Caenorhabditis elegans: one gene and its partner. The protein of the gene in region 1 interacts with the protein of each later gene in a pairwise test. Each region holds a gene or a part of one and is shown on either strand. Other genes may lie near its edges.

What was found.
Region 2: the proteins of far-2 (region 1) and lin-37 interact in a two-hybrid assay, tested with the Caenorhabditis elegans proteins (3 studies listed by BioGRID).

The regions. Positions count from the first base shown.
Region 1 is NC_003281.10:9,076,878-9,085,522, forward strand, and holds far-2 (Fatty-acid and retinol-binding protein 2), read left to right. Parts: upstream 1-4,950; 5' UTR 4,951-4,952; coding exon 4,953-5,460; intron 5,461-5,532; coding exon 5,533-5,573; 3' UTR 5,574-5,634; downstream 5,635-8,645. Other genes in the region: F02A9.1 (uncharacterized protein), read right to left, coding at 1-99, 776-922; far-1 (Fatty-acid and retinol-binding protein 1), read right to left, coding at 3,596-3,636, 3,692-3,777, 3,826-4,031, 4,085-4,300; mrpl-44 (Large ribosomal subunit protein mL44), read right to left, coding at 8,011-8,215, 8,270-8,359. UniProt on the Caenorhabditis elegans protein: Probably binds lipids.
Region 2 is NC_003281.10:7,068,214-7,077,661, forward strand, and holds lin-37 (uncharacterized protein), read right to left. Parts: upstream 4,340-9,448; coding exon 4,215-4,339; intron 4,166-4,214; coding exon 4,031-4,165; intron 3,594-4,030; coding exon 3,314-3,593; intron 3,267-3,313; coding exon 3,097-3,266; intron 2,907-3,096; coding exon 2,789-2,906; 3' UTR 2,677-2,788; downstream 1-2,676. Other genes in the region: Ubiquitin-conjugating enzyme E2 ubc-18, read right to left, coding at 1-100, 159-254, 301-327; R01H2.8 (uncharacterized protein), read left to right, coding at 890-1,045, 1,085-1,216, 1,261-1,347; tmem-17 (transmembrane 17 domain-containing protein), read left to right, coding at 2,068-2,106, 2,159-2,272, 2,321-2,443, 2,511-2,672; ZK418.5 (BOS complex subunit TMEM147), read right to left, coding at 4,620-4,755, 4,806-4,942, 4,993-5,190, 5,368-5,501, 5,548-5,620; ZK418.13 (Pollen-specific leucine-rich repeat extensin-like protein 1), read right to left, coding at 6,071-6,616, 6,920-7,097, 7,461-7,816, 8,083-8,136; ZK418.6 (G-protein coupled receptors family 1 profile domain-containing protein), read right to left, coding at 8,401-8,572, 8,621-8,828, 9,141-9,357, 9,410-9,448.

The DNA of each region.
Region 1 (8,645 bases):
CGTAACATCAATTGTTATTTCATCAAGACTTCCATTATTGTATATCATTGTATGTTCATATAATGGTTCCGTAGAGTTTGAATCAGGAAATGACTGTTTCTGAAAAATGAATGATTAATAATAATAATAATTTATTACGCTCGCTGGGAGACGTGAAGGAATACAGAATACAAAAGTTATCATTGTTCGCTTGAACTAGAATTGGTGCAGTCGGCCAATCGTTTCCATTCCATTAGAATGTTGTCCTTGTCCTTGCGTAGACTCCCCCATAGTGGGCGAGCGATTCCCGAGTGAAAATAATCACGGAATCTTTAGAATTATTTAGAATTATTTTCTAGAATTATTTTCTTAGAATTATTTTCTTATGTAATGGAGTTTTCTGTAGATTTTTGGTTACTTAATCCTGCAATCACTTCTTATTTTTCTATTTGTTACCATTCTATTTCCTAGTAGTAGTGTTGCTACAAAATCAAGCTCGAGCCATTCCGAAGATTATAGGCACAAAATGCCTACATGCCTACAATGCCTCCACTGGGCGATTGCCAAAGTACAGCTGAACTTGTTTTTTTCTGTTTTGAAAATAATTCTCAAACAATTCTAATTTTTATATATTCAAAATCCCATAAAATTCGAGTAGTTTCAGCAAACAAACAGAAAAAAATCCGATAGGCAGGCATATTTTAAATTCTAAATTTACTGCGTTCAAGTTTCCTACTTTTGAGTTAAGTTTAAATGTTTAAAATTTCTTGGTTGAAGTCTCAAAACTATCTCTTACCAGAAAACGTATATTTACTTCGCAACCGTTTTGATCTTGACAAACCATTGCCAAAAACATTTTATCATATCTCGAGTTTTGATTATTTATTGATGCTACCAAACTAACAAAACTTAGAGCAAATAATGAGTGAAACATAGCATTCATGATCTGAAAAATTTGTTTGTTTTGTTTTAATGCATAAAACGAGGAAGAGACCAAATGATCAATAAATACAACAGTTTCAAATGTAAGCAATGTTTAGAACCCATATTCATTCAAATTTCTGAAAAGAAGTATCTTAAAACTACTGTAGGTGCTTTTTGGTTATGTTTCTCATACTTACGGCCTTGCTGGGCAAGTGTTCAAAATACTTTCACATCTCAAGAAAAGAGCCTATTGATGGCTTTGTCAGTGAAAAGAAACACCGTTAGACAACTTAAGCCGTTGCCTCACAGATTTTTGGCTTATGTAGTTCAAGATCGGTGTCCGGTAATCTTCGGAACAAAATATTAAAATCATATGATTTTAAATTTAGTGATGTTTGAATAGATTATTCGATCTAGCAGTTATTACAAAATTTGAATGCTAAGTTTATCACGTATATACAATTTTTCTATAAAATTTGCAATTGGGCCTTTGTTTGGAAAATAAACTGGAAAAAGAAAACTATACATTGAGAAGGTTTTATTTTTTGAAAAAGTGAGCTATACATGTATCCCTCAGGATTATAGACCGCCACTAAAAACCACGCATGGAATTCAAGTGGTTTGAAAATTTGATATAATTGTGAAGTGTTTTCTGTTTTCACAAAAACACACTAGATGAAAAATTCCAGTTAAGAAAAAAAAAAGAATTTTTCTAGTCTTGAATATATAATTTTCACACGAACAAATCTTCTGAAACTAAATAAAATCAGCTGTGTGAAATCTATGAAGTGGCGCCTGAAAAGTATTCAGCAGGAGAGGAGGCAATTGAAGGGACCCACGTCGTCTGATACAGCCCCCTTCTGCTCGTGTTTTCTGCTGCTTATTGCACCAAAAAAACGGCGAAAACTAGAGAAAGACGGAGTTCACAGCTTCTCGAAAAAAACGAGAGTGGATGAAAGAGAAAATGGAGAGACTGACTAACAAAGAAATACTGGAACTCCTTCTTTTTGGAAATTGTTTTCCGAGAGAGAGAAAAGTGGAAAAATTGTTCGACGTACTTTTGGGAAAATTTATAACTTTTACAACGGCAAAATGCAGGCTTTACACCTATAAATTTTAGCAAAGTTCTAGAACCAAGAGAAACTCATTCGAGGAGAAAACCGCAGTCGATTAATGGACACAGAAGAGCTGGGACACTTCTTCATAATAAGCTATTTTATTTATTATTTTTATTCAATTTTAGTGTTGTAATATACAAAACTGTTTGCTCAATCTGGAACCAAAAGTACTTTTTTGTTGAAAGTTTGAAATAGGTTTTCGAAATTTGCACGAAAGTTGCCAATTGCCTCCGATATTCCGTCGGAATTTTTGAAAAAAACTTCAGAGAAAAACTAAGGTTCAGAGAAAATGTAAATTATGAATGTGTGCTCTGAGATAAACGCAAAAAAATGCTGAAAGTAAAAAGAGATGAGATTGTGTACGGAAATAGAGGCCGTGCGCGGATTATGGAAGTCACAAGGAAAAATAAAAAATAAATACATACACGGAGAGAGAAAAGAGAAAAAGTGAAAGAAAAATGAAGTCGAGATTGTTTTTGTGCATTTCTATTCTATGTGTAGAAAATTTAAGACGTTGTGGGTGGAATACTTTTCAGATTATCTGAGCCGCTTATTGTAAAATAATCGTAATTTTTCTGTCAAAAGAAGGGAGTATGATTGGAGATGGTAGAAGCAGATTGAAAAGATTAGGGATTATATGATTGGAAAGATTTAATGTTTGTTGTTAGTTGTGCATTATAGTATTATTGATGTATAGAGGTGGTTTTAGAATCTTGAACACGCTCTGAAAATTGCGGATGAGTTGCCCATTGGTTTGATTAAGAATTGAGAAATGAGTGAAAAGTATAAAAATAGATAAAAATCAGTAACGTCGAAAATAACAAATGATTTTTAAAAATAAATTTTAATCAAGTACATCTTGATAACAATAATTTTATAAATTCAACAACTTCATCATTATGTCATTTTAAAACATTTGGACAAGCTGGACACTTCATCGAATGGATGGCGGAATTCTCTTCTTTGCTGGATTGTCAACGTTCGGGTCCTACAACAAAGATGCATCAACGTTTATTCTCGTTCAGCGTTGGATGGTGGATGTCAGATATTATGGATAGTGCTTCAACTGCCTTAAAGCACAGTGAATTCCTCTGTTTAGAACCTGAAATAACGCTATTTGATCCCAAGTACCTAAAATCAATATGGTTATGTTTCTTAATTGAAAGGATGCTATTTGATTTTGAGTACTTGAAACAATATAAGTTTTGACAGGCTTGCAATAAGATGGGACTTTGATTTTTAGGTTTTTTTTAAATTCCAATCTCTAGCAACTTCTGTGCAAGTTTTTTAAATGGCCAATTGACAAGTCTCAAGCATCGACTTTGCAGACTTTTTTCTCCGTTAAATCTTTCCAATTGTCTCCGATCAGTTCTTTCACTAAAAGTAATTTATCTTAGAGGCCCGAATGCTACTGTTGTGAGGGCATCATTTGTTTGAGATACCAACTGCTACTGATTTAATGAGTCATTACAGAAAGCATCAAGTTTTTATTGCGATTCAAAGTTTATAGAAAACCAATAACCAACCATTAAGCTTATTACATTAAAAACAAAAAGAAAATGCGAAATGGAAATTTAGTTGAGGTATTGTCCGACCATGGCTTGAACCTTCTCGTCTGAAAATTAATATAATTATTAAATTGAAAATTATTAGAAGTTTATTAAACTCACTCTTGAAGAATCCGGTGAGGATTGGGAATTCCTTGGCGATGGAGTCCTTGGCATCTTGGGAAAGTCCCTTGTAGGCTTCGATGTGGCTGAAATGTTATCCTGACAGAGAAATTTGTAATTTTCTCGAAACTTACGTCTTGGCGGTGGTCTTGAGGGTGTCGAGGGATGGCTTCTCTCCGGCCAAGTATTGAGCGTGGATCTTACGTCCTTCAGCGATAGCCTTCTTGACGAAAGCCTTAGCCTCATCATTGAGAGCGTTGACCTTGTCCTTGACGATTTGGTGGAGCTTGGAGGCCTTCTCGTGGAGAGTTGGAGACTTTTCCTTGAGGGCGTTCAAGAACTGCAATTTAATATTTTGATTATTGGTCTAGAGTTTTCAATTTTCAGACTCACATCATCCTCGCTCTTGAAGTCCTTGTATCCCTTGGCGACCTCCTTAAGAATAGCCTTCTCTTCTGGGGTGATGGACTTAAGATGCTCGGAGACCTCGGCTGGGATAAGGGACTTGTATTCAGCTGGGATATCGTCATAGTTCTCTGGGACCTCCGGGACTGGAGCAGAGAAGGCGAGGGCAGCGACAGCGGCGAGGATGATAGTGGCACGGATCATTACTGAAAATTTGAAAGATTATGAGAATCGGGGATGTGACGAAGAAGAAGAAGAATAAGAAGAAGAAGAAAGCGAAATGAGACTGAAGTGTTGATTTCCATTGTTCTGAGCATCTTTTAAAGTCGAACAAAAAGAGGCGGACCACATGGTGACCCCAGAAGAATTACAATCAACTAGCGAGAGTGTAGTCCTTTGAGAGACTCAGAAAATGAGCAATTCAAATGGGCGGAGTCAGTGAGATAGAGCAGTTGCGAAGAATCAGCAGCAGCAAAGGGAATCGAAATAGAAATAGAAAAAAGAAACATTTTTTCCTAAACTTCATTACACTAAAAGTGGTTTTTTATAATAGAAATAAGGGAAAAATGAGGTCTGCGTCTCGAAGGGAACGTGATATTTCATCGGAACTCTCATGGTTCAACGCACTATTTCGTTGATGAAACGAGGTTCAAACATACATCATCCAAGGTCGTATAAAAGATCGGCTGGCGGAGCAGAATCGGCACAGCAGAAGCAGCTCAAAGCTTCATCTTCTACTTCGAAACTTTGCTAAATGGTTTCTTTTTTCTAGTTTACTGGTTCTTTAACTTTGATATCACCTTCTATTTCTATTTCACCTTAAAATTTCCCACCCCTAATTTAAAATATTGCAGTAATGATCCGCGCCTTCCTCGTCGTAGCCCTTGCCTCCGTGGCTGTCTTCTCTGCCCCAATCCCAGAGGTTCCACAGAACTTCGACGACATCCCAGCCGAGTACAAGGGACTCATCCCAGCTGAAGTTGCCGAGCACCTCAAGGCCATCACCGCTGAGGAGAAGGCTGCTCTTAAGGAACTCGCCCAAAACCACAAGGAATACAAGACCGAGGAAGAATTCAAGGCTGCTCTCAAGGAAAAGTCTCCATCCCTTTACGAGAAGGCTGGAAAGCTCGAGGCTCTCCTCACCGCTAAATTCGAGAAACTCGATGCCACCGCTCAGGCTCTTGTCAAGAAGATCATCGCCAAGGGACGTGAACTCCACCAACAATACCTCGCCGGAGATAAGCCAACTCTTGATTCTCTTAAGGAACTCGCCAAGGGATACATCGCTGAATACAAGGCTCTTTCTGATGACGCCAAGGCTACCATCACCGCTGAGTTCCCAATCCTCACTGGATTCTTCCAAAGTGAGTTTTAAAATTCTGAGATTTTTGAGCATTCAAATTGTTTAATTCAAACAATAATTTTATTATTTTCAGACGAAAAGATTCAAGCCATCGTCGGACAATACGTCAACTAAGAAGTAATAATTATGATATGGTTTTCCAATTATTTTCCCCCAAAATAAAGTATTTTAATTCAAATAACGATTGATTGTTCTCTAGAAAAGATGGAAAGAATTGAAGTTTGGTCGGTGAAATGAATCCCAAATGGCTACCACATGTCGGCTTCACGTAAAGCACATTTTCGAAACTTTCGAGTTGTCTTCACAAAGTTTATGGGTTTTGTTGTGGTTGTTGTGATTGTAAACAATATGGTTCCGAGGTCCATTGAGCAGTTGAAAGAATTGGGTACAAAGTGCAGGGTTACGGTAGCTTATTTGCCAACAACGTAATTCAGAAACTGGAAGGACAAGTTGCATAGTTTTTTGAAGTTTGAAAAGCGCAGGTAGGAAAACTTGATAATTTTTCAAAATTTCCAAAAGAGAATAAGTCAAAAACTAATAGGTTTTGCAAAAAAAATTTCTACATACAAAATATAGGTCATAACGTTTTCTTTGTTTTTGTTATTGACAATTTGTTATCAACTCTTCTTTGAAAAAAGTTAAAGCATTTGACATCTGGCGGCTTAATTTTTTCCAATCATTTTTGGAGCTTTCTGTAATTAACTGAATTTCATGGTATTTTCAATTAAAAAAAACAGATTTTCATTCTTTATGCTCCTCGAATTCGATTCTTCAACATTTTTGATAGAAAATGTTAAAAGTGCGACATCGTGGTCGCGTTTTTGTAAAGCTCATTTGCAGAACTTCATAGCATTTGTCAATCCGTGATCTCTACTTTTCCATCTCTTTTTCAATCGAATCTAGAACATTCCAATCCCTATCATCTTATCTCTTTATCAATTTCATCAGGCTCTTCATTGACCCCATTACACTTTGATGTACCTGCAAACCTTAGTCAATGAGATGTTTTGTTTCAGTTTCATCAGAGGGATCTTCTGAACGCTTCAGACACTTCATAACACACTACAAACCACAAAGTATGTCTATGGCTCAATTGTGTCACGTGATGTCTTGCAGCTTTTTGAGAAATGAAAGAAGAAGAAGCTCAAAAGCACAAAGACAGTGTAAAAAAGAAAAAAAACTAAAGGTGAATCAGGAATCATGAAAAAATCAAAGAAAAAGTGCAACTTTATCTCTTTTTTATCATCACCACCAATTGCTCAAATTGTTCCCATTAATGCATGGAAGATGGAGCCAGGTGTGATGTGGTACTTCTCAATTTGTTTGGCTGAAAAGGTCATTGAACAACTGACTTGAAGAATTATGTCAGATTCTTTAAACTTTCACTCTGACAGAACAAAACTAATCTTGCGTAGTTATATCATTCGATTGTTACGTCGAAAATACGGTACCTGGTCTCAACGCGAATGCGTTTTGTTAAATGTGAAAAGGTGTGCGCCTTTTAAGAGTACTGTGATTTCAAACTTTGTGGAATTTTAATCGATTTTTCATAGTTTTTCTCAGGAAATCTATGTTTTTATATTGTTTGATTTTCGTTTTTTTAAAAGTTTATCGAAAATATGATTATCATAAAAAATATGTATATAATATGTTCATCGAAAAAATATACAAAATATTTTATATTATTATTATTGGCAAAAACAAGTACTTAGTTTAAAGAAGCAGTACGATGTGTTTGCACGTAAAATAAAATGCAAGAGTGCACTCAACAGAGCTCACCAACTACCGTAATCATAGAGAATGACGTCTGAATTTTCTTTTTCCGGATCTGTAAACCTGTGGTTTCTTACGTATTTTTTTCTGTAATGTCCATTACATTGGTGTGATCTATAATCGGTTGATAACTGACTGATAAACAAATGAATGAATTTTTCTATAATTCTATAGAACGCTCCAATTTCCACCTTCCACTGTTTATAAAATATTGTTCAAATTTAATCTTCCATCAACAAACTGCATATCAAATTTCTAATAAACAAGAAGAATCGTCCCATTGGGGCTTATCAAAGGGTCACATCTCTTGTGTATGTGCTCACGGAGCCAGCAGCGGGGTCTTAGATAAATGGGGTTGCATCTGGCCAAGGGGGACCCCATCATTTATCAAGGAGCCGATGGGAGGACAAAGAGCAAAGCGGAGATGGAAGGAAGAAGGGAACAACAAGAAGAGAGGAAAGGGATGCATTATGAATTCAATTTGAATTTTAAATGTGACTAATTTATGTTCCTTTAACAAGATGGGAACTGAATGGATTAGCTGTTGCCAATTTCGACTTCATTGAGCACTCATGTACAAGTGTGGAAATGGGGAAATGTAGTAGAACAAATAACAGAGTAAAATTGAAACTTTCACTATTCTAGCTTGATTTGAAAAATTTAACAACACAAACAAAAATGAAAGGAAAACTATTTGGAACAAAACAAAAAAAGAGGAAAAATGAGATAATACGATTGAAATCTGAAGGTTTAAAGGCTTCTCTCTAGATAATAATAATTAAGCAACCGTGTAAGGCTTCGGCTTGACAAGATATCTGAAGGACCGTTTCGCAAGCGAACCACGCGAGAATTTGTGTCGCAATCGTTTAGTGTAGCTCTTTCCTACTTCTGCATCAACCACATTTCGGTATCGGAGAACTGCTTCAATTAGATTGTCTGGTGATTCAACAGGTTGGCTATGGTCAATAATGTTCGTGTTTGTTCTGAAATTAAGAAGTAGATTTTCATTGATTTTGAAGATTGGTTTTGGCAAATACCCTGGAGAGCACTTCTGTGACAATGAGAAATTCGGTTGAGAGTATCGTTCCAGTGGTACATTGGCAGCACGATCGCCAAAGAAGAGGACTCTGAAAAAATTACTTTATTTTTAATTTCATAGAATTTAAACTTTCGCTGAATATTTTTTGCTGGAAAATCGGGTTATCTAGCTTCAAAATTCATGAATTTCGAAATTTGACTTTTGTTTTCAAAAAAAAAAGACACTCGAAAATGTAACTAGCGTAGTAGGTTCAAAAATGTTCCAAAAAAGCGTTTTAAACAGAATATTATCTGTTTTTCGCTTTTTCTGGGTTTTCGGCGAATTTTATTTTTTCGTTGTCTTCGGCTTTTTTTTGCCCCAGCCCTGCTTCTGAT
Region 2 (9,448 bases), 2.0 Mb from region 1:
AAATCTTGGTCTCGAACGCGACCTTTGGTGGCTTGAATGGGTAGTCAACGGGGAACGTGATTCCAACTTTGAACGCACCTTTGTTGTATGGCTCCTTATCCTGAAAATTAAATTTAATTGAAAATTAAAATTATTTTATTAGTGAACAAAGTTCTTACTGGGATAAGGAGAACTGTCCATTTCAAGAGATTTGTCTCCTCGCACTCAACATTCTCGTACGCCTTCACTCCACAGTTTTTGAGATCACCGAGTTCCTGAACATTTGAATTGTGAATTGTACAATAAACATGATTTTCTCACCTTCTGAAGACGCCGTGTCGCTGACATGTTGATATAAACGCTCTAGTTGGGTTAACACTGAAATATAAAATGTTATGAAGTTTCCTAACAAATTTAAAAAACAAGCCAAAACGAGTTCAAACAAAGGATATATTGATTTCGGCTGGAACTGGTATGACTTCCAAGAGGATCATCATGATTCTTGAAGTTAGTAGATTTAAAATAAAATTTACAAGTTTTTGAAAGTGGTAAATGGTGACAAATAATGAAATCATTGACCAAAACAGGTTGTCAGCATGAAATTTGACTGTCGGCAAATCTAATGCTTTGTACGCAAGAACACCGCAACGCAGAAATGCACAGACAATTGGCGCCAGATTCAAACGATAATATCTTTGTCAAAAAACATGTCTAAAAATAAAACTAAATCACTGCATTGATTAAAAGACAATGAGAATATAAATTCAGGGTACATCGAGTTAATGTATAAACTCGAATATCAGGCGCTACGAGTGTGTCGAGTTGTTATTCAGCAATGTACCTCGAATCGTTGCCTAGGCAACACGCTTAAAAGTGACGAGTCCACAAATAAAATGATTTTCGATTCCCAATGAGTTCAACACTACAGAACGATTTTCTGACTGATTTAGGAAAAACTAATTTAGATAAGGAAGCAGAAAACTTGGTAACTCTAATATTTTTGATTGTAATTTTTACAATTTTCGCGTTAGCAGTCATTGGAGCAATTTTGATAGGATGTCTAAAGGTTTGATTTTTCTCAAATAATCTAAAAGATTTATTTCAGCCTCAATGGTTCCGCCTAAATATTTATCAAGACCCCGTTCCAAAAATGGCAGACTTTTCATGTATAAACGTGTGTATTCCATGTAATTCATGCTCTTTACGTCAGTTACTTAATGGATGTTGTCCTAGATTAGTGAGTCTACAGTAGAAAGATCTACGAAAAATCAAAACTTTCAGCATTTAAAACAACGATTCAACTTCATAACAACGTGCTGTGACCGACCGGGACCCGAAAAATTAAATCTTGTTTGCTGTGTTGTTTAATTGTTGTAAATAGAATGAATAACATTATGTATTAACGAAAACTACAAAGATTTTAACCATTCCGCTACAGTAACCGCCAGTACGGTAGATTGCAATTTTCGCTGAATTTTCTAATATTATTATATACTCTTTTCGATAATCTGCTAATAAATATACAGATGTACAATTAAAATCATAAAGTTAATAAACCCTCAATGTGAAGTTGCAAAATATTAGCAAGTCCGGTAGCTGAAAATTTTAGCTCGTGGCAAGACCCGAGAACGTAATGCCACATTTAAGACGAGCCTGATTGCAGAGCTAAATGAAGGGATAAAATCATTTTAAAAAAAAACTATGAACAATCAATGGTTAAAATTTTCGCGAAACATTGTTTTAAAAGTTTAGGTTCATGTTTTGACGAATTATATTTTGCTCATAAAGAAATAGCTGAAATTGTAGCTTAACATTTTCTCAATTCGTTTTACACATTTCCATCTCCATCTCCACATTGGAGCACCATTTCCCTTTCTGTGGTTGGTTTCCATAGTAACCGCCCACCGCCTCGTAACCTCTTTGGGGTCCTAGTGCTATTAAAAATGGAAAATCTATCACAAGAACCATTTAAGTTGGGTGAGAATCTCTAAAAACCACTTTTCACAACTTTTTTAAAAAATTATTACAGAAATAATCTCAAGTTTTCCACTTCAAATTGCAATATATTTCAACTTATGCATCTATCCTATGCATTTGATTAATCTATGCTTATCATTATACTTCAAGGTAAAAAAAAAAATTACAGTGGAACATACTTAGAGCATTATTTGAATTTCAGCATAGTCTGCTGTCATTAACGTATCAAGTAATTGCATTTTCTGCGTGTTTAGTTCATTTGGGAAGTGAAGGAGTACGGCTAGGACTTGGATTTTATGGAAATTTGGCAGAAAATGTAAGTTTTGAATGAGTCAAGTCAGAAAATCGACACTAGTGTTTACAGATGTCAGCTCTTTTTGGATTCTTAATAACTACAATTATTATTCAAATTCCTCTTACAGTATTCTTGGCAGTGAATGGCTCTTTTCTGAATCTCCCACTTGAATACGTTTTCTACACAATGATTGTGATTTTTAGTGGATTTCAAGTGAAAATTCAAAAATCTGAATATTCTCAAAATATTTCTATTTCAGACTGTATTCGCTATAGAAGCTTTGATGAAAACTGCCGAACGAGAAGTTGCAAAATATATTAACAAGATTCAACAAGAAAAAGTAGCTGACGAGCTCGAGAAAACTTCAGGAAAATCTCCAAAAAGTGGAAGAAAAACGTTGAAAAAACAATTGTCAAGATGATGTATTTGAATAAACCCATTATTTATATGAATTTTAAAGTGAGATTTTTGAAATAAGAGACATGTGATAGCAAGATCAGAAAGTAAGAGATAAATTGAAATTACATGTTAGAATATTTAAATAAGACCAAGTGCTTGCTCGACAGTTTTCGACTCTCCAGGCTGGTAGATTTTGTTGATTAATGCTATGCTTCTTGCATGGGGAGCAGTCCGACGACGTTGATGAGCACACCAACTGAAATTTTTTTTTTTGGATTCTCTGACTTTGAAGAAATAGTAGTGATCACAGATTGCTAGTACAATATTTTTTATTTTATAGTTTGATACAAAATTCGACAAATGAAATTCTAACATAGAGCACAGTTACCGTAATACTTTAAGAAATAAATTTTTACGGAAATTTTCAATGGCAGAAGAAGTGTTACCCTTTTTTGACTTGTTTCCAATGACGAATGTATTCATTTTTCAAATCTGTTTCATATCTTGGATCGACTGTAGCGTCGAATTCATCGATTCTAGATGGAACAATTGGCAGCTCAGGAATTGATTTATCTGGACGTGGCATTCGATGAATCTCGCGACATGCAAGATAATCCTGAAGGAAATAATTATAACATTTTTCATTTAATCTTTCCCACTCACAACAGCCAGATTCGGTGCATAGTCTGTCCTTTGAGCTTTTATTGGTTCATATTCATTATTCATGTGTCCTTTAACCCATGCTCTACCAAGTGAATATTCTTCTTCAAAACGTCCAGCTATCATTTCGAATGGTTTTCCACGCAATTCAAACATAATTTTAGAATCACGAGTCATAGTCTTGCGTGGTGATTCCATAAGTGAAGTTGAAGATTCGTGACGCGGCATCTTACGAGGGCGACCTGGTGGACGTCCTTGGCGCCCGGGCTCTTCATCAGCACGACTGAAATTATAAAAAATGCAATGGAAACTCTAATTTTTCAATTATGTCTAAAATTTATATTACGAAAAACAAAAAGGTCCACATTGTCTAAATTTTTTTCTGTTATGTATATTCCAGGACGCGACATTTGACAAAAATTAACTATTTATCTGGAACCAAAAAACTGAAAAAAAATGCTGTATTTACTGTAAACGTTTTCTGTGTACAAAATTTATTTTACTTTTCTTTCAAACTAAATGTGGCTCTGCATAGTTTTTAATTCTTTTTCTCAAATATTAAGGTTTAAAATTCAATCTCCAATTTTTTTTTGGCTTTTTTACATATTTTTGCTTTTTGATACAAAATCAAAACCAAAAAAAAAATGATTTTTCGCCCCAGGCATGGTATACTCTGCCGAAAATTAAACAAGAATTGAAATTTTCCATTTTATCACTTACGTATAATCTTCTGGGAGTACTCCAATTATTTCCGATGGGTGATGTTTTATGGTTGTCAGCAGATTTCCCAGACGTTTTCTGGCGAATTTCATATCCGGTGACTCCGGAACTGTCGGATCATAGGATAACAGGGATCTGGAAGCATCTTGAGTAGCACAATTGTTTCAAGTTTAGAAAGTATTACGTGAGTTTTCTGCTTGGCGATTCCAATGGAAGTGGACCTCCGCTTATCAATGGATCATTTTGACGAGCATTTCGATCTCCGTCTTCTGGAAGCAAGAACTCGGCAAGTGGATCTATTTCTGACATCTAGAATTGGAGAGGAATACATTATTTGGACAGTGAACAGCGAATACTTGCCAAAGTAATAAAGGTATTTAACCTTTAATAAAAAGAGATAAAAATTGTAGAGTAAATATAAGGACGACAATTTTTGAAGCAGTTATTAAATTAAACAATAAATATTTTTGGGTACTTGTATAAACATGAACAAGGAGAGAAGAAAATTTCGAATAAATATATAAATTCTGAAAGAATCTAAGATAGTATTGAAACTGACAAAAAGTGAATTATAGCAGAATATGTGTTGCTACTCGTTCTTTCTTGTGGACGCTGTCCGGTTTGCCGAATAGACAACGACGGTGAGAATTGCTGTTGCGATGGAGTAGGCAAAGCGGAATGCCAAGAGAGACCATCCGTAGAGAGAGAATGTGTGTTGAACGGTTCTGAAATAAAAAAAAATTTACATTTTTTGACTAGTAAAACCAATACTTACTGATAAACGAATGTTGAGAAGACACACATCGCAAGGATCGGTGACACCAAGAACTTGTTTGGAGTGCGGGTGATCATCCATGTAAGGCAGGCGAGAGACACAATAACCAATAGATCAGCTGAGGAATCAAGAGATGTCTGAAAATATAATATTATCTTTTTTTCAGAAAAAAGGAAGATTTGATCACCTGAACCCAACGCCATGTGAAAGCGGTTCCACGAGCTCCAACCCATAAAAGAACAAGACGATGAGCAACAGAATGAGCGAATCCCCAGCCAAGACCACCGACAACGAATCGAACTTCTCCTTTTCCGGCTAAGAAGTTGGTCATCAGAAGGTGAAGCCCAATGACATCGATGATGTCAGCACTGCTTTTTAGGAATTCCTGCAATGATTCTGAGATTGGCAATGAAAACCAAAATCAATAAGTTTGAAGTGTCCGAAGGATTATGTCCGGCGAGGATGGGTTTATGGTAAATTTCACTTAAAACTTGAATTAAAATGATTTTCATTGAAACGTTATTTATAGCTCCAATTTTGAATAGAAAAATTAATTACATACCGGCACAATACTGAATCCTTCACTGTCGAGGGCTGGGAAAAATGTGGCAATGATAAGCAGTTTGGCGAGTTGTGTCAGCAAATATCCACCACTAGCAGTTGCACATTTCCAGATGGAACTGTATTCGTTAATTCCTATAAAAATAGTGGTGTTTCATTGACTTCCCATAAAAAATATTACCTGAGTATTTGTAGACAATAAAATATGGTGCAAATGCCAACGCGAAGCAATTGATGAAATGGAAAAATGACATTTTGTAGATTTAGCTTACCTGAAAGATATTGAATTAATATTAAAACTATATACTTGATATCAAGGAACAAAGAAGGTAATTTTTAATTCTTAAGCAATTATGAATTACTGAATGTTAATATTTTAGGACTATAAATTTCGTTTGGACACACTAGAAACCTTCAAAAACACCAGCCGATGATTATGAAATTCATTTTGAGAATAATCATTGGATTTAAAATAACTAAAATTCAATAAAATCGATAAAATGGGCATTTGAATGATGATATTTGAAGGGCTCACGCTACCAGAAGTTGACGAAGAGCGACAAAAAAAGAGTAGTGCAACCGCGCTTTATTGAGAACCATTTACGCGCGAAGTTTGAATAGGACTTTCTATCATATGGCAGACTTTTCGAATTCGTATTAAAACAAATAATTTACAAATAAAAAGATCTTTATAATCATAATCATCAATCGTAATAGCAAGTGTGTTGTTCCATAGAAGAGCGGTACGCAAAAATTGTGAGCATCACCAGTGCCACGAGCAACCACCAGTTGGATTCCGAGCTGTAGAAAATGTGTTCCATTTTACGAAACATCAAAACATTGGAAACGGATGGAATAGCATAATGTTCCGGTGCTTGAGTAGAAGATGGCATAAAGATCAACGAGCTATTGGAGCCAGACCATGCTCCTGGAGATGCAGGTGATCCCGGTGGGATGTCCTTCATGGATTCTTGCTTGATAACATGGTGCACCGGGGACTTTGGCGGATGAACATCAGTTGGAGCCGGCAAAATGATCAAATTTGGATCTGGTCTTGATTCGGGTTGTGTGACAAGTGCCGGTTGATGATGGATGAGCTCGGGAATGTTAGACGGAGGCGATACGGGCGGTGGCTTCATGATTTGGAGACCTGGGGACCGGGGTGGAATGAATTCGGGTGGGTCCGGTGTAACTTCAAGGTCCTCCGGCTCCAGCTCAGACATTCCGATTTGGCCAGGCAGGTTTCGGAGCTGTAATTCATAATTTGAAAATAATTTTAATAGAAATTACATTCGATTTCATCGAATTATTTTTTTGCGAACTTAAATATTTTTAAAGCTAAATTGGGAGCGAAGTCTTGACACGTCCGCATACTTTTCATCTCGAGTACCCGCTAGTCTTCGTACTTTTTTGTGTTTTTAATTAGTTTTCTATTAAATTATTACACTAGAAATATCAATAAAAACGGAAATCCACCGTATATGCGGGTACGATAGCTGAAAAAATTTGTTCGTGCCAGGACCCGAGGCATTACAAATCGTAATAATGCTAACCATCTTCAAATCGATTGCCTTTGCCGGCGGTGGGCATGTTTGCTCATAGAGCTTACACCACAACGTCTGATTATCCGGAGACATAAAGGAGTTTGGTGGAGCTGGTGGTGGAAGTGGAGGTGACGAGATTGAACGGGTTCGCGTTGCACCACGATGACGACGTTTTTTGTTTGATTGACTAGAAATATATTTCAATTTCTCAGAACTTTTTCGATCTATGTCTCCATAAAAGAGCAGAGTGAAGGTACTGTATATTGATTTCGTAAGTTTATACACCTTGTTGTTTTACGTATACTTTTTCTACTACGTGGCCGCGGAATACGAAAACTCGGTCACCCTCATAAAAAAAATTAGAAGCGTACCCTCGGAAATCAGCTCGTTCCCCCTTCTAAGACCATTGTCAGTGGAACGTTTACCAATCATTTTGCTACACATGTGGCCACGAAAAAATACGATGGCCGTGATTTCTTTTTTATGGTCACGTAGAAAAAAACCGATCTGCGGGTTCAGGAAAATCCACGAAGATCGTGGCAAGACCTACCTCTTGTGATGTCTTCTCTTCTTCTTAGCCTCTTGCAATCTACGCTTCTTCTCCTCCAAATACTCATCTTTAGCAGCTCCACCTTGCTCACAAACCGTCTGTGTATCGTCAGCTCTTCCACAACACGCACAATCACATTTTCCAACCAAACCAGGAACTCGTTTCGGGCTCTTCCCAAGCTCCACCGCTTTTATGACATCCGTACGAATGTGCTTCGATTTCCAGACACTTGTGTCAAGCTGATCTTCGGCTGGACTTGCCACGTGGTTTTGTTTCGGCGGGGCCGGCTCTTCGTCGTAAATTTTCACCGGCTTCCAGTTTGCACGAAGTGGACGGACGTTCAGGCGGACGCTGACCTGGAAATTAAGAGTACTGTGAATGAGGTTTTACTATTCACATATGTCTGCGGGCCAGACAATAAAACACCTTTTGGTGTTCGTTCCAAAGTTTAACATTGCGGACACACGAAATTAGAAATCTTCGTATTGCGATTGACCGATTTCGTTATGAATTATACGCACATCGCGATGTAATTGTGATGTCCCGTGGCCGCGAGAAAAAAAACTGATGGCCGAGTGTTCCCTTCTCACGGCCATGTGACAAAAGCCGATCTTTCCCCCACCTGCGGATTCTTGGCGGCCTCTCGTTTTTTCTTCTTTTCTGAGGCTTGCTGCATTTGTCCTATTGTTACCAAGTTATGAATAACGCCAATTTGAGGAATGCGTGTTGAAATTGGTTGAATAAATTGAAATTGAATCAAGATAACTTTTTTTCGCACGGTTTCGAAAAATGAAACGAATTAAAAGTGAACACGTTTTGAATAATTTAGTTAAATTGTGTGTTACTAGATTTACAAATGAAATGTTTTTTTTTGGTTGATATTTTGAACTTTTGTTATTACAGGAGGTAGATTTTTTATTGTGTAAAACTGATTAAATATTCACAACTTTTCGACTTCAGAGTGGTCCTCTGAAACTTCTGTGATTGATGTGGTTCTTTCTTTAGATTTCCTAAAAATCGATGGAAATTTTGAAAATTGTTTGATGAAAACGCCTCGCAGCTTTTTGTCCGATAATATATTAATGACAGGATCAGCAATCATAGCGATAAGCCTGAAAAATATCTCGTGTAACAATATCATATAGATTTTCTCAACTTACCAAACAATCGCTGATATACTTGCCATCATTTCAACGTCAATAAGGAGATAACTTAGACGAAATGTTTTACAGGGACTTTTACATCCTTCTCCTAATGATGAAAGCTCTTTCAGATTTACAAGTGCAACTATACAAACAATAAGAATAGGAATAGTTCCAATGGCAAAAGTTATCATATTCATACTCAATCGACGCATCGCAATCATACCTTAAAATCAGAAAGTTCTTCTTTATTTAAATAGAATTGTTGTGGGATAGAGGCATCTAGAAAGTTCTAAAAAGATGTGAAGTATAGATTAATGAAAGATATTAATTTCTTATTTTCTTGAGGAAATGTTAACAATACCAGGAATTAAATATCCACAGCACACGAGCTTTGAATTTTTTTTTTCAAATACATTTAAAAAATGATCTTTTGAGTTATCTCCGGCAAAGAAAAGTAGAAATTGTCAAAAACTCTCGTAAATCGAAAAAGCAGAAAAAGAACCCCAAAATCATTAAATTTCAATCCAAAACTTACTATTTGAATTGCATCTAGCTTGAACCATAGAAGACTTTCGAACTAATTGATGAATTCTTGCCATCATTGCAATATATAAACCGATTACTGTACCATAACATATCGATAACATAATCACTATCACAATTGCAAGCGGCTGCTGACAAGATTCAAATGAGCAGGTAAAAGGAGCAGAGTCTGGATAGAAAAGTGTTGCTCCCCACATTCCAACAAAAACCTAGAATACTATTTTTTTTTACTAATCACAATTGATGGACAAGAAAACAAACAGATGTAACAGTTGATATTATCCAAATTAATCCAATAAT